Astyanax mexicanus: one gene and its partners. The protein of the gene in region 1 purifies or fractionates together with the protein of each later gene. This does not show direct contact. Links are inferred from orthologs where the notes say so. Each region holds a gene or a part of one and is shown on either strand. Other genes may lie near its edges.

Evidence for each region.
Region 2: the proteins of derl2 (region 1) and selenos purify together in Homo sapiens (affinity purification with western blotting; 3 studies listed by BioGRID and IntAct, with this or other methods). This does not show direct contact. The link is inferred for Astyanax mexicanus from reciprocal best matches to the Homo sapiens genes DERL2 and SELENOS.
Region 3: the proteins of derl2 (region 1) and faf2 purify together in Homo sapiens (affinity purification with mass spectrometry; 5 studies listed by BioGRID and IntAct, counting the BioPlex papers as one, with this or other methods). This does not show direct contact. The link is inferred for Astyanax mexicanus from reciprocal best matches to the Homo sapiens genes DERL2 and FAF2.
Region 4: the proteins of derl2 (region 1) and os9 purify together in Homo sapiens (affinity purification with western blotting; 3 studies listed by BioGRID, with this or other methods). This does not show direct contact. The link is inferred for Astyanax mexicanus from reciprocal best matches to the Homo sapiens genes DERL2 and OS9.

Annotation. Positions count from the first base shown.
Region 1 is NC_064408.1:27,636,193-27,643,461, reverse strand, and holds the start of derl2 (derlin-2), read right to left. Parts: upstream 3,001-7,269; 5' UTR 2,902-3,000; coding exon 2,809-2,901; intron 284-2,808; coding exon 218-283; intron 130-217; coding exon 56-129; intron 1-55.
Region 2 is NC_064423.1:9,663,536-9,670,937, reverse strand, and holds the start of selenos (selenoprotein S), read right to left. Parts: upstream 3,009-7,402; 5' UTR 2,824-3,008; coding exon 2,718-2,823; intron 1,490-2,717; coding exon 1,361-1,489; intron 123-1,360; coding exon 16-122; intron 1-15. Other genes in the region: snrpa1 (U2 small nuclear ribonucleoprotein A'), read right to left, coding at 5,160-5,326, 7,014-7,107, 7,214-7,289. UniProt on the Homo sapiens protein: Involved in the degradation process of misfolded endoplasmic reticulum (ER) luminal proteins. Participates in the transfer of misfolded proteins from the ER to the cytosol, where they are destroyed by the proteasome in a ubiquitin-dependent manner.
Region 3 is NC_064426.1:2,400,428-2,408,138, forward strand, and holds the start of faf2 (FAS-associated factor 2), read right to left. Parts: upstream 3,018-7,711; 5' UTR 2,971-3,017; coding exon 2,908-2,970; intron 1,088-2,907; coding exon 1,019-1,087; intron 913-1,018; coding exon 778-912; intron 683-777; coding exon 606-682; intron 71-605; coding exon 1-70. Other genes in the region: higd2a (HIG1 domain family member 2A, mitochondrial), read left to right, coding at 4,162-4,348, 6,426-6,592. UniProt on the Homo sapiens protein: Plays an important role in endoplasmic reticulum-associated degradation (ERAD) that mediates ubiquitin-dependent degradation of misfolded endoplasmic reticulum proteins.
Region 4 is NC_064412.1:17,475,664-17,482,729, reverse strand, and holds the start of os9 (protein OS-9), read right to left. Parts: upstream 3,010-7,066; 5' UTR 2,966-3,009; coding exon 2,816-2,965; intron 1,288-2,815; coding exon 1,111-1,287; intron 1,002-1,110; coding exon 938-1,001; intron 690-937; coding exon 613-689; intron 524-612; coding exon 425-523; intron 285-424; coding exon 83-284; intron 1-82. UniProt on the Homo sapiens protein: Lectin component of the HRD1 complex, which functions in endoplasmic reticulum (ER) quality control and ER-associated degradation (ERAD).

The DNA of each region.
Region 1 (7,269 bases):
GAGAATAAATTAATGCAAATGCATTTATTTGACTAGGCCATTGTTGGAAGGATACAAAAATATCATATTGAATAAGAAATTGAAGCCAACTGGACCAAAAAAGAGAAAGTTGGTCACAAGCCGCCATACCTGCAAAGAATAAAGAAGATATAGATTCAGTTTTGTTATTTAACATCTACAAGCAAAATAACATCTTTGGATATAGAAACACACTCACCTGGTAGTGCTTTAATATTAAATCTGGGTTGAAGTATAGCTGGAAAGGTGTAATAAGTTCTAATTGCTGTTGGGAAGACAAAATGTGCAACAGAAAAGTCAGGCATTCTTCTCTAGTAAATCTAGTAAACAATCAGTTCTGTGTACAGTAGCCTTAGCAATAGAATTGTGTTCATATAACAATCATAATCATAAAGTGCCTAACTGACATGTACTGAAAATGTATTGGTCAGATATTTATATATGGCTCAGTTCTTTTCTTTTTAAATCAAATTATCAGTATTTCCTAATAAAAATGTCTGACCTCAAAGCAAATGTATCTTTTCATAAAATGAAACAAATGTTATGGAGTTATTTTATGTTGCAGTGTTAAGAGTTTTTTACTTTTTGAATAAAAAAACTAAAATAACAAACACATTATTTGGAGTAACCCAATATAAATAAAAAAATAATAGTAAAAAAATAATCCATTAATTATAATTGAGTAAGTATAACTCTCAATGTCATATGCGATCTTACTAAGGTCTCCAGTAGTTTTGATGGATAATCCTCACTTTAAAACCTATCGAAAAACCTCTAAATCACTTACAGCAGCTGTCTCATTACTTTGGTTAGTATTAAAAATGCTAAAGCTCCAGCTGATGTAAGAGGGGAGAGGAAAATAAATTAAGGTTATTAATTAAATGTAGCTAAACTAAGCTAGATAGCTGGATAGCTAGCTTTCCCCACGTATATAAGCTAGTCTAAGAACACTAAATAACTATTTGGGGACACTCCAAATGATTTGTAATTGGTAAAAACCCATTTAACTTGTATTCATGAAAACATAAAGTCAATGTTTCTTAAAACATAGAAGGTAAATGTTATTACTTAAGTGTAACCGAGCTAGCTAACTAAGAAAAACCTCCCTCATGTATGTAGTTGAGTAGAAAACAAGCAAATCATTTGGAGACACTTAGAAAGGTACAAATCCATTTGACTTGCATCTGATTACATGTAGATGGTTAGCTAGCTAGCGTAACCTAACAAATGTCATTAAAACAGCTGTCATGTCTGTTTTATTTTCTTTATCTGAATGATGAAGTAAAACTAGTCAATGTAAACACATACAATCTGTGTAAAGCAGCCCAAACTCAAAATAAACAATAAAATTACATTTAATATACAAAATACTGAGCAATATATACTGTTATACAGTTTGCCTGCCAAATAGGAACTTTATACTGTATATCAAGCTCAGTTCTACCCTTATTGGACCACTTTGAAGCTCACAAGTTAGAGGTGAGAGAAAGAGAAAGTTAAATGTTTTTACTTAAGTTTAGCTAACCTAGGTAACTAATTAAAATGTTGCCTAATTTCCTCAGGTATATAACTAGCTAGTGGAGTAGTACAGAATATACCAATTTTGGGAAACTTCAACTGATTTGGAAAGATGCTTGGCTAGCTACGAGTTAACCAAGTTAACGTTAAATGTAATTTCTGATGTAATTAAAGTCTTCAGTAGTTTTTGACAGGTATTAGCCCCTTTAAAACTAAAGTCTCCGATAGTTTGACAGGTAATCCTCACTTTAAAACATACAAAAAGTTTTAAATATTTTAAAACAGCTGTCATGTCTGTCTTATTCGCTTTATCTGAATGACAAAGTAAAAAATAGTCAATGTAAACACATACAATCTGTGTAAAGCAGCCCAAACTCCATATAAACAACACAATTACATTTAATATAAAAATACTGAGCAATATATACAGTTTGCCAGCCAAACAGGAACTTTATACTGTACATCAAGCTCAGTTCTTATTGGACCACGTTGAAGCTCACAAGTTAGAGGTGAGAGAAAGAGAAAGTTAAATGTTTTACTTAAGTTTAGCTAACCTAGGTAACTAATTAAAATGTTGCCTAATTTCCTCAAGTATATAACTAGCTAGTGGAGTAGTACAGAAAATACTAATTTTGGGAAACTTCAACTGATTTGGAAAGATGCTTGGCTAGCTACAAGTGTAAGTACGTTAAGTAAATTAACGTTAAATGTAATTTCTGATGTAATTAAAGTCTTCAGTAGTTGTTGACAGGTAATAGCCCTTTAAAATCGGGTAATCTCCCTCTCTCCTAGGTAAAATCACTCACACTCAGCTGTGATGTCCTTGCTGAAGTCTAGAATCATCCACAAACTGCTGTCTGTTTTTTTCTGTGGCAGTTGTAGTTGTAGCTAACTAGCTAAACACTAATATACACTCACACTGACTGCTCTCGTTTCCTATCGTTGTGTGAAGGGGAACAGTTGGCTAATCCAGAGCAGAGCTCCGGGTAAAGATTATTACCAATTTAACTAAAACTCAATAGTGTAACTACATAAACACACGGACTGGGTTTCTCCAGTCCGCTGACACTGACACGCTCCTGCTGCTTAGCCAGCGTTAGCTAACCCAGCTAAACTACAGGAGGCTAACTCAGCTAACCGCTGATACACGGGCTAACCCCCCTCCTCTCGCTAGCCTAGCCAGCGTTAGCTAACCTACAGCTAGCACAGCTAAAGCCGCAGGAAACCTGAGGTAAATGAGAGGAATATGGCTGGGGCTGAGGTTCTACTCACCACCGCGGCCGTGGTGAGCACACAGGCGGTCGTGTATGTCCTCGTCACCACCGGGATCTGTAAATACTCCTGCTGGAATGTCTGGTAAGCCATTTTTTGGACCGACTCTAGTAAGGCTTCCGGCTCTGTGGCGACACGTCCTTACACACAGCGGCGCAAAAGAGCATCACACACATACACTCATACACATACACCCATAGTCAGTAGACAGCACCGCCTAGCTAAACCTGTAAGTGTCAAATTCTGATTCGCCCGGGTAAAACCCGGAATATGGCCCTCTGCTATTGGTCCGCGTACACCTTAAAGTATGAAAATGTGTTATTACGGGGTTTTTATATTCAAATATCAGTGCATGTTTAGAATAAACTGTGTACTGATACAGTACAGTGGTGGGCGATGTGGCTGTGTAAAGGGCAGGTGCGAAAATACAGCTCTGGAAAAAAATAAGAGACAATTTAAAATGATCAGTTTCTTTGATTTTAACAAATTAAAAACTTCTGGAATATAATCAAGAGGAAGAGGGATGATCACAACCATCAAACCAAACTGAACTGCTTTAATTCTTGCCCCAGGACTGGCATAACGTTATCCAAACGCAGTGTGTAAGACTGGTGGAGGAGAACATGCCATGATGCATGAAAACTGTGATTAAAAAAACAGAAATATTCCACCAAATATTGATTTCTGAACTTTTAAAGCTTTATGAATTTAATCTTCTTTTTGTTGTATTATTTGAGGTCTGAAAGCTCTGCATCTGTTTTGTTATTTCGGCCATTTCATATTTTCTGCAAATAAATGCTCAATAAATGACAATACTTCTATTTGGAATTTGGGAGAAATGTTGTCCGTAGTTTATAAAATAAAACACCAATGTTAATTTTACCCAAACATATACCTATAAATAGCAAAATCAGATAAACTGCTTCTGAAAATGAAGTGCTCTTTTTTCCAGAGCTGTATATTTATATTAATAAATACTATCATTTAAATATTACGTGGGCCAAGTAGGTTTGAAAATTATTATTGAATCATTTTGTCATAATATAATTTCCTCATATAAATAATACACAGTACTTAGAATTTACTATCTAGTATTTCTCCTAATAGTAAACTAGCTGTTATCCATAGCTGTTGTTCTAGCTCATGTCTGTGCGGTTTAATGCTTTAATATCAGAGGAAGTTCTATAACTTTATTAAGAGCCACACAGTGAGATCTACGAGGCTGAAGTTGGTTTGATATTCGCAGCTCCAGATTCGTTTGGCTCGATATTCGCAGCCTCGTATTCCCCGGCTGAAGTTGGTTTGATATTCGCAGCTGCCGCTTCACTGAACCACCGTGAACTAAAGGGAGCGTTCACAAACACCCGCTGTTTATATTAAACACCTCACAGATCAACACTGAAGGAGATAGAATGAAGAAAAGCAGTACATCTGTTTATTAACAATGTAAATATACAATATATTATTAAATATAATTTTGTATATTGTTAAATATTTATTTTAATTACTGAATTTATAATTATATATTACAATAAATAATTAAATATATATTTAATAAAATTATATTTTAAAAGCCATTGCGCTCAAAAAATATGAGGCAGATGTTCAAGTGTGATTTTGAAGAACTTTTTCATGTTGGGCCAGAACAAATACACATGATCTGAAGAGTACTAGTCTTCTTCTTTAAGGAAAACCTGGAATTAGCCTGGCCCAAGCTGATTTTATACTTTAAAATGAACTGGCAACATGGAATACCGATCCATAAAGCACAATTTTTTTATGTAAAGCTGATGTTCCAGTGTGATTTTGAAGGACTTTTTCATCTTGGGCCAGACCAAATACACATGATCTGAAGAGTACTAGTCTTCTACTTTAAGGAAACCCTGGAATTAGCCTGGCACAAGCTGATTTTATACTTTAAAATTAACTGGCAACATGGCCTACCGATCCATAATGCACAAAAAAATTGAATAAAAAGCTGATGTTCTAGTGTGATTTTGAAGGACTTTTTAATCTTGGGCCAGACCAAATACACATGATCTAAAGAGTACTAGTCTTCTACTTTAAGGAAAACCTGGAAATAGCTTGGCCCAAGCTGATTTTATACTTTAAAATGAACTGGCAACATGGAATACCGATCCATAAAGGACAATTTTTTTATGTAAAGCTGATGTTCCAGTGTGATTTTGAAGGACTTTTTCATCTTGGGCCAGACCAAATACACATCATCTGAAGAGTACTAGTCTTCTACTTTAAGGAAAACCTGGAATTAGCCTGGCCCAAGCTGATTTTATACTTTAAAATTAACTGGCAACATGGTATACCGATCCATAAGGCACAAAAAAGTTTAATTTAAAGCTGATGTTCTAGTGTGATTTTGAAGGACTTTTTAATCTTGGGCCAGACCAAATACACATGATCTGAAGAGTACTAGTCTTCTAATTTAAGAAAAACCTGGAATTAGCCTGGCCCAAGCTGATTTTATACTTTAAAATGAACTGGCAACATGTAATAACGATCCATAATGCACAAAGAAATTGAATATAAAGCTGATGTTCTAGTGTGATTTTGAAGGACTTTTTAATCTTGGGCCAGACCAAATACACATGATCTAAAGAGTACTAGTCTTCTACTTTAAGGAAAACCTGGAAATAGCCTGGCCCAAGCTGATTTTATACTTTAAAATGAACTGGCAACATGGAATACCGATCCATAATGCACAATTGTTTTTATGTAAAGCTGATGTTCTAGTGTGATTTTGAAGGACTTTTTAATCTTGGGCCAGAACAAATACACATGATCTGAAGAGAACTAGTCTTCTACTTTAAGAAAAACCTGGAATTAGCCTGGCCCAAGCTGATTTTATACTTTAAAATTAACTGGCAACATGGCATACCGATCCATAAGGCACAAAAAAGTTTAATTTAAAGCTGATGTTCTAGTGTGATTTTGAAGGACTTTTTAATCTTGGGCCAGACCAAATACACATGATCTGAAGAGTACTAGTCTTCTTCTTTAAGGAAAACCTGGAATTAGCCTGGCCCGAGCTGATTTTATACTTTAAAATGAACTGGCAACATGGAATAACGATCCATAATGCACAAAGAAATTGAATATAAAGCTGATGTTCTAGTGTGATTTTGAAGGACTTTTTAATCTTGGGCCAGAACAAATACACATGATCTGAAGAGAACTAGTCTTCTACTTTAAGGAAAACCTGGAATTAGCCTGGCCCGAGCTGATTTTATACTTTAAAATGAACTGGCAACATAGCATACCAATCCATAATGCACATTTTTTTTTAATGTAAAGCTGATGTTCTAGTGTGATTTTGAAGGACTTTTTAATCTTGGGCCAGACCAAATACACATGATCTGAAGAGTACTAGTCTTCTACTTTAAGGAAAACCTGGAATTAGCCTGGCCCGAGCTGATTTTATACTTTAAAATGAACTGGCAACATGGAATAACGATCCATAATGCACAAAGAAATTGAATATAAAGCTTATGTTCCAGTGTGATTTTGAAGGACTTTTTCATCTTGGGCCAGGCCAAATACACATGATCTGAAGAGTACTAGTCTTCTTCTTTAAGGAAAGCCTGGAATTAGCCTGGCCCAAGCTGATTTTATACTTTAAAATGAACTGGCAACATGGAATACCGATCCATAAAGCACAATTTTTTATGTAAAGCTGATGTTCCAGTGTGATTTTGAAGGACTTTTTCATCTTGGGCCAGGCCAAATACACATGATCTGAAGAGAACTAGTCTTCTACTTTAAGGAAAACCTGGAAATAGCCTGGCCCAAGCTGATTTTATACTTTAAAATGAACTGGCAACATGGAATACTGATCCATAAAGCACAATTTTTTATGTAAAGCTGATGTTCCAGTGTGATTTTTAAGGACTTTTTCATCTTGGGCCAGGCCAAATACACATGATCTGAAGAGTAGTAGTCTTCTACTTTAAGGTAAACCTGGAATTAGCCTGGCCCGAGCTGATTTTATACTTTAAAATGAACTGGCAACATGGTATAACAAGCCATTTTGCACAAAAAAGCCACTGTTCCAGTACAAGTTTGAAGAATTTTTTAATCTTGGGCCAGAACAAATACACATGATCTGAAGAGAACTAGTCTTCTACTTTAAGGAAAACTTGGAATTAGCCTGGCTCGAGCTGATTTTATCCTTTAAAATGAATTGGCAACATGACTTGAAAGCCATTTTGCACAGAAATAATGAATATAAAGCATTGATTTTGAGAATACCAGAACTCTTCATCTGATGTGTATTTGGTCTGAAAAAAAAGTCCAAAATCATACTGGAATACAGCTTTAAATAATATTTTTTTTTGTGCTGCCATTTTGCCAATTAATTGTGCAGTCTAAAATCAGCTCGGGCCAGGCAAATCCCAAAATTTCCTTAAAGTAGAAGACTAGTACTCTTTAGATCATGTGTATTTG
Region 2 (7,402 bases), on another chromosome or scaffold:
TCAATTAATACTCACTCTCTGCTGTTTTTCTTTAAACTCTGCAGCTTTGGCATCAAGCTCTGCTTGCATTCTTTGTCGTGACGCCTCCAAAGCCTCCTGGCGTCTCACCACGGACACAGGATCTAGAGAATAAAACAAATCAGCTTGCTTACACTGTGTTACACAGAGTTTTCTCTGTGTTTGTTCACAAGCTCATTCACATAACCAATGTGTCCATAAGAAAAAGGGCTAATTCTTTGGAGAAAGATTACTAGACAGGGTTGTGCACGGTCCTCATTATGTTTTGCATTGTATTTAGTAGTGTTGGACACACAAAAAAATACAGCTACTACTGCAAAGATGCAGGACATAAAATTGCTTGCTATGCCAATGATATTTTGATTTATCTGGGTAATTCCATAAAATTCCACATCTGAATGAATAAAGCAGCTCCAGGCACTTTGGTCATTTGTTTGTGTATAAGCTAAACGTAAATAAAACAGAAATTTCTATATTTAACTATGAGCAGCCTACGTTTATTTTCTTTGACTACATTTTTTTTTTAATTTTGCAAGTTCTTAAAGGGGTGGAGCCAGATTTGTTTTATTTCAATTGGCTTTCAAGAATTAGTTTTATTAAATTGAATGTACTGCCAAGATTTCAGCATAGTTGTCCAATACTGACACAGAGTGTGTATGATTCTTAGCTATACACTGAATGGGGTAGAGGTAAGTAATTAGAGTGTAACATCAGGACAGCTCATAGACCATTTTCCTGGAAGAAAAAGTTTCAAAACCAGTTGCAAAGTTATTTCTAAGTTTAAGAAGAAAGCCCATATGAGTATGAAAATGTACGGAACATCAAACAGAAGAAAATCCATTTGAAAAAAATATATATATTTTGTTTATTGCGCTATAGCAGTTAACGTTAATGCTGTATTAATGCTATTTCAAATGACAATGGAATTGATGGCTCTGAGTGACGGAGATGCGGAAACTATGATGAATTTAAGTCCTGGATCATGCTGCTCGACATCAGCAGCCAGAGTCAGAGAGAGCACAAGTGGCCTTGCACTCTTTGGGTGGGCAGTAACGCTCTCTCCACACATCACTCCCCAAGGTGATGTTGGTCAACACAGGTGCCTGTTAGCTGCTGTGCTAGTCGTGTGTTACTCGCTAGTCTTCACACTCCTACTGTTGGGCACATTACTAGTAATTTGAGTTCTAATGAGTGGTGGGGTAACTGGCCGTTCAAATTACGAAGAAAATGGGATAAAGTTAGAAATGAAATAGTCAAAGACATCGTTAAAGAGATTAAAAAGAGGATATAAAAGAAATACTGGTTACACTAAAACTGAGTATTCACGTAGCTAGATACTGACCTGAGCTGGATGTGGAGGCTGAGCTGCGATCCTGAATAGACCTTTTCTTATTGAGGTGCTGAATGAGGAGATACACCCCCCCACTGAGGAGCAGCAGATACCATCCATACTCAGAGAAAAGCGAGGAAACTGGGAGCAGGAAGAATCAGGTCAGTAAATAAGTTAATATAAGACGCACACACAGATGTTTAAGACATTGGTTCCTCAGAGGTGAGCTGAGATTATAGGTTTCAGAGCCAAAAATGTCTGACACCAGTCTCAGTTTCAGTTTTAAAGTAGACAACGAGAGTTAGCAACCAAATATCAGTAGGAGCTAGGCTGTTTTCCACCTTCCACTAATAGCTTGAGGACCAGAACCCGTATTGTATATTTATATATTCGCTTATATGCAATGTATATCCGTTCAATAACATAAGTCTATATGAATACAACAAAAGTTATTATGTGTATTTTTCTTGTGTATACTGTAAAGTTATCTGTATATTTCTATTTTATTGTATTATTCTACTTTGTTGTAAATATTGTTTCTTGCATACTAAGGGAAACCCTTTTAGACCTGAATTATGATCAAGTTGTGGAAAAATATAAGAATGCTATTTCTGCCTGTGATGAACACAAAAGCTGCCCTTTATAAACTGTATGTAAAAATTAAATCTAAAGAACTAAATATTCAATTGCCCTATTTAATGTCATTTGAATTGGAGGCCTGTGCTTAACTTGTTTAATTTGATATTGATATAACTTTTCATTTTTTTTATATAAAAAGCCTAAAATATATAATCATGATATAAAAAAAGCTGTTTTAAATCACAAAAAGTAGTAAAGAATTATCTCTTTCTTTGCTTCGTTGACTCTAGTGCTGTCATGCCATAATGTCTGAGTTAAGGGTTGATTTTATATTTTTTCAGTGAAGTGGGTGGGGCTAAGCTCCTGTTTAATTGTCTTTTTAACTTTTTTATTGGCTGGTTGATGGTCTATTCAAATGAACAATATGTCTCAATTAGTGTAATGTGCAACAAAACATCTTTTAAATTAATGTGCAGTCCACTGTTTGAGGGTCGCAAGGCCTGAAAGGGTTAAAAAGCCTTTATATTTAACTGTAATACATTTAAGGTGTAAAAACAGGACAGACAGTCAGAGGGGCTGAACTCTCACAGCTCCAGCTCTGTGTTTAACTAGTGAACACAGTGAGTCAGCTAGGCTAGCTAAATGCTAACTAGTAAACAAACAGGCCAACAGGTCAGCAGCTCTTATCTAGAGAACTCTTTCTGTCAGTAAAAGCGTTGAACAGAATATAAACACATTATTAATATTTTATATCTGTTTTAATTAAATCTCTTAGCTGGTGTTTTCCTACCAGTGGTCAGGAGGAAACTCAGGTCCTGGTTCTCCAGGCTCTCCTGCCCTCCTCCTCCTCCCGCTGCCGCCGCTCTGACATTAGCAGCGCCGCTCTCCGCCTCCATTTCTCACCGACACAAACTGAATTAAGACCGCCGGAGGTTTTATTCCATTAATTCTACAGTACCGCTGATTAAACGGCGGCTATGAGCGCAGCTTCGCGGCTTCACCATCAGCGAACTGCCCGCTGAGCTAAAGCTACCTCAGTTAGCCACATCAGATTTCCTCCTAAACTCAAGGATGACGTGGACGGTGAGCGGTGAAGGGGCGGGGCTAGTACAAATACATCGATCTCATTGGCTGTTGTCCGGAAAATATTATGAAAATAGGCGTTTACAGACCCAATCAGGATACAGTAAAGAAACGCCGTAGCAGAGCCGGTGTTCTGTCGAGTTGTGCTAGTCATCAAAATGTGCTTCTAAACACTAATTTTATTTTTTATTTTTGTCATTTTCTGTGTGTTACATACAAATGTGAGTCTAAAATAAATAGGTTCATATGGTGCACTAAAGCAAAATCAAGAGTTTATAATAAATATTTGAAAGTACTAAATTTCTCAACACATTTCTTTAACTATTTTACATATTTCCGTAGTGCGGACATATTTCAAAGCTTTTAGATTTGAAGAAAACCCTTTAAAATATGGTCTGGATGTTACAGGTGCATCTCAAAATATTAGAATATTATAAAAAAGTTATTTTATTTAGTAATTCAGTTGTGAAACGCAATTGTGAAACGCAATTATTATGTAGATGTATTACACACCGTGCGATCTATATTAAGTGTTTATTTTTTATTGTGGATGGTTATGGATTACAGCTAATGAAAACCCAAAAATGTGTGTGAAGTCCTGCTGAAATCTGCATCTCTTTAAAAGTTGTCAGCAGAGGAAAGCATGTAACACAGTGCAGCAACACCAGCAGATGACATGTCTCTCCAGAACGTCCTTAAATTTCAGTAAATGTTGCATTTCATTTGTAAATCAAGGGAGCAGAGTCTGGAGGAAGAGTGGAGAGACACAGTCCAAACTGCTCGAGGTCTAGTGTGAAGTTTCCACCAATCAGTGATGGTTTGAAGAGACATGTCATCTGCTGGTGTTGATCCACTGTTTTATTAAATCCAAAGTGAACGCAGTGTTTCCGGCAAAATCTGCAGATTTCATTTTTCAGCAGGATTTGCCACACTGCCAGAAGTACCAATTGATCTTATATAATATTCTTTTAATTAATTTTCAGAGACACTGATTTTTGGGTTTTCATTGGCTGTAAGCCATAATCATCAACAGTATAAGTAATAAAGACTTAAATAGATCACTCTGTGTGTAACACATCTATATATTATATGAGTTTCACATTTTGAACTGAATTACTGAAATAAAGTAACTTTCCAATGATATCCTAATTTTCTGAGATGCAACTGTACTTCAACATCAGCTCAAGAACCCACGAGCACACAGTAGCAGTAATTAGAACACATTAAATAACATAAAAATGTACAATGATATAAAAAAAAATCATATATAATTGAAATTTAAGACAAACTTTCTCTACATTGTCTATCAAATCTTTTGTACTAGATTTTTACAAGTTAATGAGGACATTTTTTTTTTTGGATGAGCCCCATCCCACCTCATCCTTGACTTATCCCAAAAGTCCTGGATGGAGCTGGAACTCAGTCTCTCTCGAGAGTTGCACTGCTTCACAGCTTCATACTGGGAGCTCTATACTCCCTCTGGTCCAAGCCAGGCATCAAGCATGGTGACAAGTGTTTCAGTTCTATTCTGACAGCAAAAAATGCATTGATTGGAAGAAGGCATCCAGAAAAAACAAAATAAACTGAATATTACTAATGTAACAACAAGAATACACTCAGTTTTCCAGTCAGCAATACATTTTAGAACCCAAAAAAACATACATTATTAAATTTTGCTGTTTTACTGTCAAAACACTTAACTTGGAGAGTTCGAGTTTAGTCAACTTCAGTTTATTTACAATTCGGACACTGACCTGGAATTTAATTATAAAATCCCATTATAAATTTTAGGTAAAAAAACAACAAAAAATAGTAATTAAAAAAGAACAATGTATCTTGTACTAAAAACTGAACGTATCAGGGTATGCATAATGATAATTTGGGCTTATAACGAGAAAAAATTAAACAAATCACACTAAGTTTACAGTAATTTGTGTTCTAGAATTAGCAAATTAGTTCAATGTGGTCATGTAAACAAGAAAATGACAATTTTATAAAAAAAAATCTTTAATGTGCTTAATTTACAAAAAAGATGGCCAAATAAAAGAAATACCCATCATACATAAACACTCCAGCCTCCTGACTCAAAACTAGACTTTACTAACTCAACAGGGCCGCTGACTCTGATCAGTCATCCACACTAAATCAACTACGATCCATTAACATGCATATCTTCTTCCATCTCCATCTCTCCTTCCTGATTCTCGCCCTGCTCCTCATCTCCCTCCATTCCATCTCCACGCTCAGCCTCGTACATCGACTCCTGCATCCCCCCTTCACTCTCCTCTTCCTCCTCTTCCACCATGCTCTGTGCACCTGGAGGAAAAAACAGAAAAAGATAAAGATGAGAGAGTGGTACAGTCTGACTAGAATGCCCTTAAAATAAGTGTTGTTAAGGATTAACAAAATTTTGGGATATGGAGTGCGCCTCAATTACAAGCTCCACCCCTTCGCCCTATATATACCTCCAAGTCACAACTCACCTCCGTGACGAACAAACTCACGCCCACCTCCACCCTGTCACCTCCCTCAATTTAATTTTTGCACCTCAGCCCTGGGGGGGGGGGGGGGGGGGGGGACCAGGCTCGAGATCATCTCAAGCAGTACCGAACTGCACCCAAGCATTAACTGAACTGTACCCAAGCATTAACAGAGTTCACATCCCCCCCCCGCATCGCTCGGCGCAATTCATTATAGCAAAGTTCATATTTGGAGAGGAAAGATCACACGTTTCAGACAGACGCACTTTCTAATATCATATCAACATATCAAAAAATATATAGTTTATCACAATTATGCTGCTAACCTGGGCTGGCTAGCACTGCTAACCGTGGCTAGCGCTCACCCTTTAACAAAGTACTGGAATTTTATGCCCACTGTAAAAAACGGAAGCGCTTTACTCACCTAAATAAACAGTTTTAAGGAGAGAAATCTGTGCAGATTAACATCCAGCACCCGTTTGACTTTTCTTTTTTTTTTCTTTTTTTTATTTAGTTTAGACTTTTTAATTACTAAATCAGTATAAAAGCCACCACTGATACAGCTGGGTGAAATGGTAAAAATGACATTTTTACGATACACAGTAGGGGTGTCACAATTCTCTAAATCCTCAATTTGATTTTATTTCTTATTTTAGTGTCACGATTCGATTCTCGATTTTCTTTTTTTTACAGCAGAGAGGCCTATGCCAGTTTTAGATTAGTCTATGGTCAGTCATTGGTTTGATTCATCAAATTTACAATATCTTATTTCAAAAGGTGGGCTTGATATAAGTGATGCAAAGTGATACAAGTGGTCTGTAATACACCACATTGGGCATTAATAGCCAAATTTAAATAATTTAAGATATATATGTAATGCCATCTAGTGGCTTTTTGGTAGCAGCAGTGTGCACTATTAAAACAGCAATGTGCAACATAACAAAATAAAGAATAAAAAATACAGGAACAGTCACGTACAAAATAATAGAACAATTAGAGCCGTAACAAACTGAACTCTATCCTACTATAACACTTAAACAAAAAATAAGACAAAACAACTGTTATTTTTATATTTTCAAGTTTTTCTTTAAGAAGTTGAGAATGTCCACATTCTCTGGAGAAAGGGCTGCTCTTTCAGCAGTCACAATGTCCGTGGCGTCGGCTACAGTGTGCTGCGCCATTTGCGCAGAGCATGTTCTTGCGTAGCTTAGAGGGAGGGATCGTCGATCCTCTTTTTGACTTCGAGGCTCGAGACTATGACATAATTTCAATCAATTTTGATGTAATATAAAAATCGTGACACCCCTAATACACAGTATTTATCATACTTTGACACAGACAAAATGCATCAGCAGTGACAGATATTGCTATTCTGCTATTAAAATGCTCAATCATTCTTATTCAATGTGTGTTTCACATCATTTAATTAAATCAGGATTTTTTACACTCTAATGTAAATGTAGATTGATAAATTGTAAAGCTACATGTACAGAGAGGCAGTAATCAGTCAGTCGGTTCAATACCTTGTCTGTTTTCTCTGCCGGGGATCTGACCAGCCTGGAGCAATCCCTTTAACCTCTCCACCTCAGCCAGTGATGTGGCGTTTGCGATGGCATTCTGTGGGGAAAGGGACGGTCATTACCAAAAATACAAAACTGAGCACCACATAAACTGAGCACTGTATCATCCACACACAGTAATATGAGCTTAAACATGTCAGTGCCTTAATAGCTTCCACATCCGCCGCAGAAGGTCCAGTCTTCTTCCGGTCAGCCTGTATTCCAGCACCAGGAGTGAACCTGAACACACACATTCAGCAAACGTTCTGTTACAAGACTGTCCCCAGCATATCCGCTCCTTCAGCCTTTTAACCACTGTTCCACCAATCAGAGTGTAGTATCTTGTGTATCTT
Region 3 (7,711 bases), on another chromosome or scaffold:
GGACACAACGTCTCCAACAGGATCTGTGACACGACCCCGAGGATCCGGCCTAATGAATCTCAGGGCAAACCTGAAGAAAATAACAAAGAACTTGTTAGATCTTTTAAGAAATAGAACACATATTGCACATTATAGGGTTGCAATGAGGCACAAAAACAATCCTGTCTTGTTTGGTCCACTCAAGCTTTCTACTCAAGTATAAGTGTAAAAGTACTAGTTAAGTTTAGGGCATATCACAGAGACCTATAGTGCACATTTTTCTAAAAGCCATAACGACTATAATGTTTTATTAAAATGTTTATGTTGAAAATATAATTTGGGATGCGTTAGGCTGTACTGTAGTGTTTCAGGTGCATATATGCCTATTGAAAATGAATGTATTTTACACATAGAACAACGTAAATATATTAAGGAAGCTTAAGTTGGACTTTGGCTGGAGTCTCTGCACAGATCATCTTCATACTAGACTACATACGTCTGCTTTGTTCTTGCAGACGTGGGCTTTTATCGTTTGTGGAAAGTATTACACCCTTAATGCACTCAAACAAAAAAAGAATAAAACTATAATGAATTAATTAAAGGTTGTAAAAGCAGAAAAGTGTTACCTGAATATGTCCAGAAGTGTGTAATACGTAAACCTGAAGGGGAGCATTATCAAATAGTAACTCCAACCTAATAATCCCTGTAAAATAAAGAGGTAAGAAAGGAATGAGGACACGAAACAAATAGTATTTACAAACGTAAGCGTCAGTAACAGGGTACAGATGAAGCACTTACTCTAGGCTGTGGCCTGGAGACGATATAGCTATAGACTCTGTGATCTGCTGTGTTAACCTGTAGGGGTCTGGCGGGCGGCGGGTTAAAGACACTGGGAACTCCTTCCTGCTCGTTTAGTCTGTCTTGTACGGCGGCCTGTAAAACAGCAGCATTCTCATCACAACAATGCAGCTCCAGCTGCCAAAAGCTCTCTCCAACATCTCTCTGAAAGGAATCATTGATCTCCCCCGTCAGCGCTCACCTCAATGTTCCAATTGTGCTGTTCTAATGTGCGGCGACATTGGTCCATCGACTCCAGGCCCGTCAGGTCCTGTACGGGATTAAAAATAATAGATTTTGCATTATTTAACAGCATATTAGGACATACTGTACATATGAGGTATGTTTTAAGAATGACACCCATCTGTTTTGCCTTTAATAAAAATCTATTTAGTACAGTAGTGATTGAATCTACACTGCAACCTGTAAAACATCAATAATTCAATATCAACATACATATTGATACAATATTGTAATAGAAAATGCTTTAATAACGCCAATATGACTCTCCACTATTTGAGTATACATAAATTTACAATTTACCTGACCTGGCACTGAATTCAGGATGCATTACATGAACTGGCAAATTCATTTTTAGCCTTTTGTAGGTACAAACATTTGTTGAGAGTGTTATTGGCATTTTTTCTGTAGCCTTTATATTCTTAACTATTATATCAAAATGGCCATTTTGCCCAGCCCTCATATATAAATCATCATGAGCCACCTAGGAACATTTTCACTTTCATTTCTGTGTCAATCTAACTAAAGTTATTTCACAATTTGATTTTTTTGAATGTCACGATGAATGTACCAATATAACCTGAAATTAAATATGAACTTTTTACTAACAAACTAAATATAAAAGACAAAAGATTAGAAGCTTCTTCATCCTAGTACCTAGTAGTAGTAGTACCCCTTCTACTACTATTACTACTGTAACACAGGACATTTTAAGGCCATATTTTTTAACTGGTTAATAAAGTCTTGGCATCATGTTCTCCTCCACCAGTCTTACACACTGCTTTTGGTGGATAACTTTATGCCTTTACTCCTGGTGCACAAATTTAAGCAGTTCAGGTTGCTTTGATGGCTTGTGATCATCCATCTTCCTCTTGATTATATTATTATATTGTTATTTTTTTATCATATATTATTCCAGAGGTTTTCACTCAACCTCAACATTTCTCGATATATTTCTTACAACCCAAGTGTATCATGAAAACATCTTTAAATATTGTGATATACTATTTTAACTGTATCTCCCAGCTCTCACCAGTGTGTTATTACAACACCAAAGATAAAGACGGAGCATGTTGATATCAACATAATGTAATTGTATCGTACCAACGATTTAAAAAAGTATATCATGATATAAACAAGATTTCTGCCATATCGCCCAGCCCTAATGTGAACTGTAGTTAATAATTAGGGCTGGTGAATTAGTTAACTAGTTAATTAGGGCTAATTCTGGACCAGAGTTAGGTCAGGTTAAGTGAACAGCGAGATTAAACATTTAGAACTACTGAATCTACTAAAACTACTGAATTTAAACTGGCTGAACTACTTAATTCGGGTTTATTCCTTTAGACCAAATTAGACTCAGGGGAGCTACAGGTTCAGCAACGGCTCCTGAATGCTGAGTAACCGGCTAACAGCAAGTTTCAGCCAACTAAGTTGATGGAAACTGACAGCTGCTGATGCTCCGGCAGCTCCTGGCTAACCCATGCGCTCCTCACGCGCTCTATCTGAACGATATTATCGATAATAATCGATCATTAATCGGCTCAGGCTGCGCTGGTTCTGAGGGTAGAATAGTTAGCAGTGTTGCTAACCGCTGAGGCGCAGCAGCAGCGCGAGGAGAGCCTCCGCGCTACAGCCCCGGAGCGGCCGATAGCTTAGCTTAGCCTAACCTAGCTATTAGCTTAGCTTAATTTAGCCTAGCCTGATGCTAACTGTTCTGTTCCTATCGTTGTATTAAAGCGGCGAAACCGGGGCTCGGAGCTCCGCGGCGGCTCTGAGCCCGTATGCCGGACAGACCGCAGGGCGGCGGGTGTGAGTGGTGTGGGTGAGCGGGAGCAGAGCGAACTGTACCTGGAACTGGAGGAGTTTCTCAGTCTGAGCCTGAGATAATTCCTGCTCCTCTGGCGCCGCCATCTTACCTCGCCAGTCCCCCCACCGCGACGTGCCGACGCTTAAATGCGACGTGATGACGTTGAAGTGCGACGTGATCACGTTGAGGTGCGACGCGAGGGCCTTGTTTGTGTGTGACGTGGACAGAAAAGAAGCCTAAGAGCTCTGTTTCTTTCATTCATTTTTTAAAGAGTTAATTTGATCAAAGTGAGAAAAATATTTGTTGATATGTATGTGTAAATATGAATGCAGCGGACCACTGATATACAGTGTTTCACATTTTCTGGAAATTGAAATTAAAATTACACATGTTTATTTCCTTTGTGTATATTGAAACAGCACAAAAAAATCGTGAATATAGAATTATATATTTATGTATAATTATATTTATGTATTACGTATATTTAAAATGTTCTTTTTTTATATTAAGAATTTCCAGAGAATACAGTTACAAACAGTTATTTCTCATTGAAAAGTTACAGAAAGGTTTTCAAAACAGATTATAACTTTTTTTTAAGGAAAAACTTCAATTCAGTGACAACAGAATTTTTTATCTATTTATCTTTATATACATATAAAGTAAAGTACAAAAAAACAAGACGGTGTAACAGATTGGTATGAGGAAGCAATTTATATTTTTAAACAAGATGTAATTGTCTCAATATATTCATTAATTTGGCAGATTCTTTTACATTGCATATATTGAGTTGAATATATGTAGGAATAGAAGTCTTCTTTAAATAAGGCATAGGTAGGATTTTATTTTCTGAATTTCATTTTATGGATTTTACCCAGTAAGATAAGCAGATTGATAAAAAAAAACAAATATCCTTGTTGCAGTCACTATAATAAAATAACAGGTCAAAGAAATGTATCTATAAAACATAATTTATTTTTTGTCTATCTATCTATCTATCTATCTATCTATCTATCTATCTATCTATCTATCTATCTATCTATCTATCTATCTATCTATCTATCTATCTATCTATCTATCTATCTATCTATCTATCTATCTATCTATCTATCTATCTATCTATCTATCTATCTATCTATCTATCTATCTATCTATCTATCTATCTATCTATTTTTAAAGCAGCAGCAGTAGAGGCAGTAGCTGCAGTAGCAGGAGGAGGCCTGTAGGGGCGGTGCAGTGCAGTGTGTGTATGGGTGTGAGTACGGAGCTCAGCAGTAGAGGCAGTAGCCGGACTGAGTATGGCGGTCGCTTCTAGCGCGGTACAGGAGGAGCGGGCTGGGCGGACAGCGCTGCCCGGAGCCGCAGCCTTTAACCCGGGCAGCCCGCCGGTCATAGAGGGCTTCACCCCGCTGCCCCGGCAGAAAGAGGAGAGCTTTAAGGAGAAGTTTCTCCGCAAAACCAAGGAGAACCCGTTCGTCCCTATCGGTGAGATACCCTACACTGTTACACAAGCTCTGTAACAGCGCTGTTATTAGTATTATATTACTGCCGGATTATAGATATTATTATTATTACTACTGCTGCTGTGTGTTTATAATCATCTATAGATCTAAACTCAGTTATTCTCAGTGTTTAATAACTTTCTGTGCTTTTTATTGGCTTTATATAGCTGGTAAACACCTTCATGACCTCTAACATGTAACATTAGTTCTGCTGCTGCATATCTAGAACAACAGTATCTAACATAGGTTATATCAGCAGCCTGTAGAACATCTGACCTGCTGGAACCTGCCTATAGTTCCAGCTCTGATCCGCAGCTGAGCCTCCAGAACTCAATAAAGGAGGACAATAGATGTTTGTGGACACTCTGTGTGCTCTGAGTCCAATACAAAGCCAGCTTTCACTTCTAAGGACGTCTAAAAGCTTTTAAAGATCATCCAATTTAAATTGTACTGTTTAACTTCTACTACAAGATAGTCTCTTTACATTTGTTATTGTACTTATTTTGTACTGGTAATAAATAAATAAAAATAAATAAAATGTGCAAAAATGTCTAAAGCAGATCTAAGCAAGATGTGCTACTTTAAATGATCTAAAATATAAAACATTTAACTTTTTTTTTGTTTACTAAATAATTTAATTTAGTTTTTCTTCATAGTTTAGATTCAGAACATTTTAAAAGAATAATAAAAAAAAAAAAAACACCCAAACAGAGTTTTCACTGTGAAAAAAGGAAATTATTCATGGTTCACTCAATATGGATGGAAACCACCTGGTCATTTAGTTTATTTTGGAACCTTTGGACCAAACAAGGTCTATTTTACTGTACTGTACTTGCTGTTAAGTGTGGTGGTGGTAGCATCATGCTTTGAAGCTGTTTTGCTGCTGGTGGAATTAGCACTTTGTACAAACTCAGATCTGAATGTTCTGCCTGACTTTATTGTCTTTCATCTCCTGCTGATGCTCTCCAAGTGTACAGAGGACGTATGTGTGCAGTGCTAAATTAAAGAAATTAAAGCAGACTAAGTAAAAAGAAAAACACTAAATTAGATTTTTGTGAGTAGTAATTCCTCAAGTAAGTTCCCCAGCAGTGGGTCTGGAAGGATGTGGGACCGTGAACACTAACAGGATCCGAACAGTTTGTCCTAAACCTTTGCTCCTTTTGGACTCGAGGGGGTTCTGAGATGAGTATCAGGGTCCCTCAAAGTCCAGCTGGGATTCCTTGCAAAAATAAACCTGGTCAGGAACAGGAAATGACTGTTTAAATAATCAAATAATTATCTTGGACTTGTATAATTGTACAAGAATCCAGAACAGGCCTTTAAAGGTGGACATGTAACAAAACCTCTTTATACTGAATGTATTCAGCCTTTATACTTATAATTATATACTTAATAACTTTATGCCCATTGTTGATACATATGTGCAAATGCAACATAAAACACAGCAGATAAACATAAACCTACTTGCTCCATACTTAAGGTTGGTCTAATGCGTTTGAGTTCACTGTATAAAAAAAAGACACATTAATTGATGTTTTTTTATATGCCTATATGATTTTAATCTTCCTTAAACACAGAGTTAAACAGAGAGTGGTTGTGATATGTGGCTTCTAATTTAGTTAAACGGAGTCATCTGTGCAAATATGTAAGAGATCTGTTACCTATTATGCAACAACTGAACTCCTCACTTACTAACGTAATCCATTTTATTTATTGGTATTTATTCTGATTTATCTGTTCAGACTGGGTTTGCTTTGCCCAGATATTCTGGCTGTTTCTTGTTGTTCACACTGCGATACAGATAAGACACTTTCATTACATGTTATTTGTTATATTATCTATAAATGCACTGAGTAACTTTGGCAGAGCCTTACAAGATCTCTTTTTCTTTCCCAGAACTGTGTGATGCTGCGTAATCTAAGTCATATTAAAATATTTAAAATAATCGTTTAAAATATCTATTAAATCATTTAAAATCTTGAAATAATTAAATGCTACTCCGTAATCTCTAAGTGGATCAATTAATGCATTAATGTGTTTTCCTGTCTGTTTCTCTGCAGGTTGTTTGGGGACGGCAGGAGCTCTGACGTACGGCCTTCGGGCCTTTAAACACGGCAAAACCCACCAGTCTCAGATGCTCATGCGGACGCGTATCTTCGCCCAGGGGTTCACCGTCATTGCCATTATAGTGGGCGTGGCAGCTACAGCACTGAAATCCAAACAGTGAGAGACGAGAAGCACCACAACCAGCCACAACTCCCTATTAAAGAGCCTTACCTGATCCAGACTGGTTTTAGATTTAATGTTGATGTTTTGTTCTGTTGAAGCATTTAGAGATCTGTTTAGAGAGAATCGGACCCCGTGTGCTACTCTAGGACTGGAATTGAAGGTGTCTCATCCAATGGGACATCTTGAGGAACGTCTCTGTGGACACAGTAAAAAGGTGTGAAGACATCCTTCCTTTATTTCCTACTGACAGTAGGATTTTTTTTTATTTTCCTCTTCCTTTACATATATTTGTACCTCTGAGTCAAAGAGTTAATGTATATTAAAGAGATTTAAGGCCTAACTGGTGTTTTGTGTGGTATTTAAACTGAAGAACCAACAAAAAAATCTGCTTAAAATATGAGTTAATAAGTTATACACTGTTTACCTGCTGTTGTGTTCTATACCTGGCAGCCTGTGGTGTGGAAATGGCCCTGGGCAGATTCGCACACTACTATATATACTGTCAGAAACTGCTGACAAGAGCTGCCAGTGATTAAACTCAGCATATTTCCCTAATATCTGATGATGCATCCTGATCATGTTATGAGTTACTATGTAACATATAATATTTAATAGTCCTTTAAGTATTAAATAGGTTTAAGCTCAGAAATGTCCATTATGAAAAGGAAGTATAGGTAAAAATACTAAAAGTACATTTTTTATTTCATATATTAAAAAAAAAACACATTAAATACTCTTTCTCTGTATTTCCATAAAATGCATATTTAAGCAATTTGCTAGTGTATTTTTTTCAGTGTCAGTGTAAGGTGTACATGTGCATCAATACACAAAGTAGTACATTTAGCAGTGTATAATACGTCAAGTGTATTAAAAATGATTAAGAAAAACACATACTAAAATCTACTTACATTTGCAGAAGAAAAAAGCACTTAAAAGCTTTTGTGTTGTATTTAAATATAGCTTAATTACAACTGAAATATACTTATGTTGCTGTAAATTGATACAAAATATTACATTAAGTATGTGTTTATTTTAAGTATGTTTTAATTCTAATGCTAAAAGTATGTACTTTTTTATGTTAAGTATACTTAAAAAAAATCAACTTAAACGCACTTTT
Region 4 (7,066 bases), on another chromosome or scaffold:
GCATGTGGTAGGTGAAAATGAATTCACAGATTAAATAAAAAAAATAATAATAATAATTATGAATTGTGAGATCTGCACTTACAGACTTGCGCTTTGACATAGTCCATGTACTGCTGAGCACTGAGAGCAGGCTGACACACAATGCCCTGTGGTTTGGCAGAGGAGGGTGGGCGCAGGAGTGGGTGTTGACACGTGCGAGAGGTGTGTATGGTGAGAACATAGCGACAGGACTGAGGTTCATCCACACGAGCAATAAAATCACTTGAACTCTCCTCACAAACAAACTAGAAGAGAAAAAGGCACATTTCAGGTAATCAAATTCCATCACAGCCATAGCAACCACATTTTTATGAAGCAACTTCACATAATCATGAGTGCCCATTTATTTAAATCATTCCTAAATGATTTTGCAAAGAGGTCTCACCCTGACTTCTGACTCCCTTGGGCTGCCATTTAGATCACACTTGGAACCATTGATATAAGACTGGCTGTGGTATCTCTTCAGCTTGTGTTGTTTAGTGGCCTAAAACATAAAGAGAAAATTAGGTATAGTAAATTCTCTCTTATGATATAAAGAGTAATTTTACTATTTTACAAAAAACTAAGCTTTACCTTTGCAGTTTCATTGGTCCAGTCAAATTCTGATTCAAAATAACCCAGGAAGAGGACATCACCCTTGATTTCTGAATCTGAAATAATAACAAATAAAAAAATAATACTTTGTGAAATTAACAGACATGTCTGTAAGGGTGTGCGTGTGTGTATATATACACCTTTTATAATGACAAATGTGTAGTGCTGTTTGCAATGTAATGCTAAACAATATAGAAAAATAATATGTAACAAAAGGTAAAAGAGAGAATGAAAGAGAAAGAGAGTGACATTGTGCGTGTGTGTTTGTTTGTACACACTATATGTTAAAGATTATATACTCCACCTTCCAAATGATACTGTCGAATGTGCTGGCCATAACAGAACTCATAGGTCCACCAGTCTTTGGTCTGTGTGGAGAACATATTAAAAACAATCTCAAAAAAACTTTTTTTCAGACTTTTTTTATTACAAAACAGTTTTTGTTAGACTGTGCACATAAAGAGTTTAGGCTAAAACCTTGACAAGGCAGGGAGCAGTCTGCATGGGCTTCAGGAGCTCAGTGATCCCCGGTCCACTGTAGCCCTGAGAGTCAGCCTCTGGTACAGGATCCTGGTGGAAGCGGACTGCCTGGGCAGGTAAGCGACACTCATACAGCTGCTTGTACTTGTTGGAGACCAACATTACATCCTCCACCTGGCAGAGAAATAATGACAGGGCAAGATAAGTGACATTTGAACACAAAAGCACAAATTATTAGGAAATAGGTATTCTACAGTCTGTTAATTAGTAATATATACATCTTATATATATATATATATACATATATATATATATATATATATATGTATATATATATATATATACATATATATATATTCAAATAACACCAGTTGGGGTTGGATCTTTGCCTGCCGGGAGACGGGCGGCAGTGTTAGGGGGCTAGCTGACAGTACGCCGGCAGTATTAAAAACTGTCAGGGAGCTTCCTGACAGTATTACTACTACGGCATACTGTCAGCTAGCTCCCTGACAGTTTTTAAAACTGCCGGCATAGTGTCAGGAAGCTACCTGACAGTTTTTAATACTGCCGGCGTACTGTCAGCTAGCCCCTTGACAGTTTTTAGCAGTGCCGGCGTACTGTCAGCTAGCTCCCTGACAGTTTTTAGTAGTGCCGGCGTACTGTCAGGAAGCTATAACTCAATAACTCTCAATAACACTTCAGTTTCTGAATCAGTGTCTGTAATTTTGCTATTTATAAGTATGTTTGAGTAAAATGAATATAGCTTTTTTTCTATAAACTACGAACAACATTTCTTCCAAAATCCCCCCCCCCCCCCCAAAAAAAAAAACACACACATTGTTATTTAGAGCATTTATTTGCAAAAAATGAGAAATGGCTAAAATCACAAAAAAGATGCAACAAAACAAGTTCATATTCATAAAGGTTTAGAAATCAATATTTGGTGGAATAACCCTGGCTTTTAATCACAGTTGTTTTCATGCATCTTGGCATGTTCTCCTTCACCAGTCTTAAACACTGCTTTTGGATAACTTTATGCCACTCCTGGTGCAAAAAATTAAAGCAGTTCAGCTTGGATTGACAGCTTGTGATCATCCATCTTCCTTGGTTTGGTAAAATCAAAGAAACTCAGAATAATTTTTAATAAAGAATAATTTTTAAGTGGTACTCATTTTTTTCCAGAGCTGTAGATTTAACATAACCACACAACTACTCGATCTAAACCGTAGTTAACTAACATAGCAAACAAATAAACAGTTAGTGCTACAGAGGACAGGTGAATACAATTTCCCAAACTAAGCCACATATGATGGAGATGCAATTTCTCTTTTATGCCACACAACAAGCAGAAAGCTCGTATAAGCCAAAACATGCCTGGTTAACAGCACTGTGACACGATATATAAATTACCTAGCAGCTGTCAGACAAGACTAACTAATAACACATAAAGAGGATAGCCTAGCTAACCGTTATATTTAGCCAAGATAATTTAGATGAAGAATAAGAGTGAAATTTATAACGACAGTAAATATTTAGCACCTACAGGCTCTTCCAGATAGACAAGGTAGCGTTAGCTGGTCAGCGAGTCGTTGTTTTTGGTGCTAAGACTGTTGCTGTCTTATCAAAATAACGTTGTAAAGCTAACGAACCAGGCTAATGCTAGCTAACTAGCTTAGCTAACTACCTCAGCCTGCAGACTTACCTGGCCCATGATAACCGGGTCTGGCAGAATCTGGATGCCATATTTCATTTCATTTAATTCCTCTAAATTCAGGAAAGCAGAGGCGAAAAGGAGACATATCAAAAACAAAACATACAGCCCCCTCAAACACCTAACCAAGGAAGCAGCCATGTTTCCCTCACATCCCAAACTGGCGTTGTCAGTTCACTTGTTATTTGTTGTAAGACAACGGACGTGTGCGAAACAGCACGCGGATTGGACAACGTCGAAGAACCTCCCTACGCGATTGGGTAGAGAAAACGTCAGTCAAGCCAGCAGTGTGTTCTCATTGGATAACAAGTTAAACAGGTTATTCCATAGCCACGACAAGGGTATTTATTGGACCGATAATTTAGTTACAGAGCCGGTGTCTATGGAGAGCGTACTACCCATTTACTATCCCCGCCGTTATATTAGAAAATCACTGCAACCGATAGAGGGAGCCATCGAGTGAGTCCAAAATGAATGGGGGTGAATTGAGCTAAACGAATAAAACCTCAAATTAAAAATAATAGCTATAAACTTGTCCAGGATATTCTTTCTGTTTTGAAAAATAAAATGATGTATGTTGTTAAAAAATCTAAGATAACTAATCTATGCATTTTAGTTTTCTTCAGTAAATGGATTTAAGGCAACACATGCGCTAGCATTAGTGCTACTGGGAGCTGACTGGTTGGTGTCAGAGCATGATTACAAGACTTATAACTGGAGTTTAAAAGCTTTAAAAATTATATCTTCCGTACTGAAACATTATATATTGATGTTGTTGGTTAAGGAAATTAGTACATTTTTCAGTATGAAAAGTATTTAACATTTTAAAACTTCAATTTTTATCTTTTGCACCATATTAACCCATTCATTTTCGACTCAATCGGGAGCGCCATCTGGTGTTTAAACAAAACTTTAATAGATTCTCACGAGGTTTTAACCTCTTTATTAGAGATGTTCTGATTTGGCCATTTCAAAAAATTGGTTGGAGTTTCAGCTTTTCAAACCAAGGAGTGGCATAAGGTTGTCCAAAAGCAGTGTACAAGACTGGTGGAGGAGAACATGTCAAGATGTATGAAAACTGTTACTAAAAACCAGGGTTATTCCACCAAATATTGATTTCTGATCTTTTAAAACGTTATGATTATGAACGTGTTTTCTTTGCATTATTTAAGTTCTGGAGTTTTTTTTTTTGTTATTTTAGCCATTTCTCATTTTCTACGAATAAACGCTCTAAATGACAATATTTTTTATTTGGAATTTGGGAGAAATGTCTGTAGTTTATAGAATAAAACAATAATGTTAATTTTACACAAACATATTGTGGCGTGGAAGAGGAAGGAAGACCCGTGAGACTCATGATGAATGCTCATAAGCTCTTTTATTAAACAGGCTTGCCACTCACTTACAGTCTTTAACAAGACTAGGAGAGGTAAAACCATTCACCCACAGAACTCTAATAGCCCAAAGGCCACCAACCCAGCTGTGTGTCTCCCAGATGGCAGATCCAGAGTGGTGCCCACCCTCTCTGCATAACCCCTCCTAAGGGAGATGCCCCACCCCTGTCATCCTCGCACACAGGAGAACAGAAACATACCTGCAGGCAGCCACACACACAACCCAGAGCCGCCACATAGCCCCCCTCCCAAGGGTCAGCCGTCCCGGCGACCCCACCAACCCAACACAAACCCCGTGTACAACAGAACTTTTTTTTTTTACAATCAGTTGCAAACAAAGTCATTAAAGCTCACCTTCCGTCGTTTTTTCTTTCATTTTAAAATGTCTAGTTGTGGTCTCTAGTATGAATGAATGACATGTGAGCCGTTTTTGTAAAAAAAAAAGTGCTCAGGTGTCTCTGTATAGCTCTTTTTTAATGGACTGTTTTAGGGGTGTGTCCAAAATGACCGGATTCCAGCTTTGCTCATGAATATTCATACATGCAAACAGCATTGCAAATATCTCTCCTCTGATTGGCTAGGAGCACTGCGACGCCCCTCCACCGCTCTGCCGCTCACTGCCTCCCACCTCCTAACTGATGAGCGGTGATGTTGCGTCGCTTCAGCTCCGCCTCTGGGAGTTTCTCGAGCCAAGGTGGGCTGGTCTGTGAGTTTCTGCCTACGTAGGCAGAAAGATAATTCAAAATTCACCCGTTTTTCGGAGGGGGGGAGGGGGGATTTCTTTGCTTAGCTCCTGCAGACAATGGGGGCTGCAAAACAGTTTAATGTGCAGGTGTACACATTCAACTCGGAGAGACCTACTGTATTCCACAAAAAACAAGAAAAATCGGATTTTCGCGGAAGGTGACCTTTAAGGCGGGCGGGCGGCCTCCGTGCCCGCGGCAGCCTGGAGGGGCCGGGCACGGCACCACCTGCCAGCGGCTCCGAAGAGCCAGAGTTCAGGTCAGGCACGAGTGCAAGGCCGGCAGGCTCCGCACCACAGTGTCTGACAGTCTCGGCCTATAGGGGGCCAGCCTATCACGGTGCACAATCATAGTGCGTCTGCCCCACCGGATCTTATACACCACCTCCCCCAGCCTGGACAGCACCAAGCACGGACCCACCCAGGCCGACTGGAGCTTCGGGCACAGTCCCTTCTTCCGCTGAGGGTTATATAGCCAAACCCTCGCCCCCACCGCCAACAGGTCCCCAAAGCAGCGTGTGTCGTACGCACGCCTCTGCTTCTGTCCGGCAGCAGACTGGTTGGAGCGCGCTAGACGGTGTGCTAATTCCAGCGAAGACATAAGGTCCGAGACAAAAGTGGGCGTGTCCGAAGCGTACCCGCCCCCGTCAGGAGGCGCCCCAAAAGCCAGGGAGACCGGCGTCCTCAGTTCGCGCCCGAACATAAGCAGAGCCGGCGTGAATCCCGTCGTCTCCTGCACAGCGGAGCGACAGGCCAGCAGCACTACCGGCGCTGCCCGTTCGCCGGATCCTCCCAGATATGGCACAGCACGCCGTCGGACAAACTAAAACTAGCCCAGTTGGAGCGCAACGCCTTAGCAATCGGGCCCAGAGGCACCACCTCCCCCCACGACAGTGTGATGTTCGCACTGAACCTGCGACAGGACTGCTCCGAGGCCGTGGTCGCTGACATCAGTATCCACAATGAAACTCTCAGACACCTTCGGATACGCTAGAATCGGAGCATTGCACAGGCGGCTTTTTAGCTCCTCGAATGCCCGCTCCGCCTCGTCAGACCAGCGGAATTTCACACTAGGCTTAGTCAGAGCATGAAGCGGCGCTGCCACGTCCACGAACCCCCTAATAAACCGCCTGTAATACGAGGCGAGCCCCACGAAGCTGCGAACCATTTTAGCGTCTCGCGGCGTGGGCCAGTCACGGACCGCCTCCATCTTTTTGGGATCGGTTTCCACGCCAGCACCGCTCATTACGTGGCCCAGGAAGCTCACACGCTGCCTTAGCAGATTACACTTTGCCGGATTGAGCTTCAGGTTAGCCGCCTGAATCGCGCTGACCACCATTTCAAGGTGAGACAGTGCGGAGTCGAAGTCGGTTCCGTGCGCCAAGACATCATCCAAATAAACGACGCAGCACGACCGCGAACCCCGCATAAAACACGCTCCATAAGACGCTCAAAAGTAGCCGGCGAGTTACACAATCCGAACGGAAGCACCGTGAAATGCCATAGGGCTGAGCCGAGCGAGAAAGCGGTTTTCTCCCTATCCCCCGCCGCGAGGAGTACCTGCCAATATCCGCTCCTCAGGTCTAACGAGCTGAACCAGGCTGAGCCAGACAGCTGGTCCAGCGTATCGTCGATCCTGGGGAGCTGGTAGGAGTCAAGCTTCGTGACAGCGTTAAGTCGCCGATAATCCACGCAAAAGCGCCAGTTTCCATCCTTCTTTTTCGCAAGGACCACTGGGGCCGACCACGGGCTGCTCGAAGGCTCAATAATGCCTGTACTCGCCATCTCGCGGACTAACTGCTCCGCCGCTACGCTTTGCTAACGCCAGACGGTGCGGCCTCAGCCTGATGGGCTGGGCGTCACCCGTGTTTATCGAATGCACCGCAAGGCTAGTTTTAGTACACTCGCGCTCAGACACAGCGAAACTCGTGCGAAAACGGCCGATCAGATCGCGCAAACGGAGTTGTTGGGGACTCACAACTGCGCTCCAGCATCTCCTCTATCGGATCTACACTCAACCACGCATCCAGCGGACCCTCTACCGTATCACGCACCAAATCACACACATTCCCTCCCACCAGTTCACTTACCCCTAACTCGTCACGT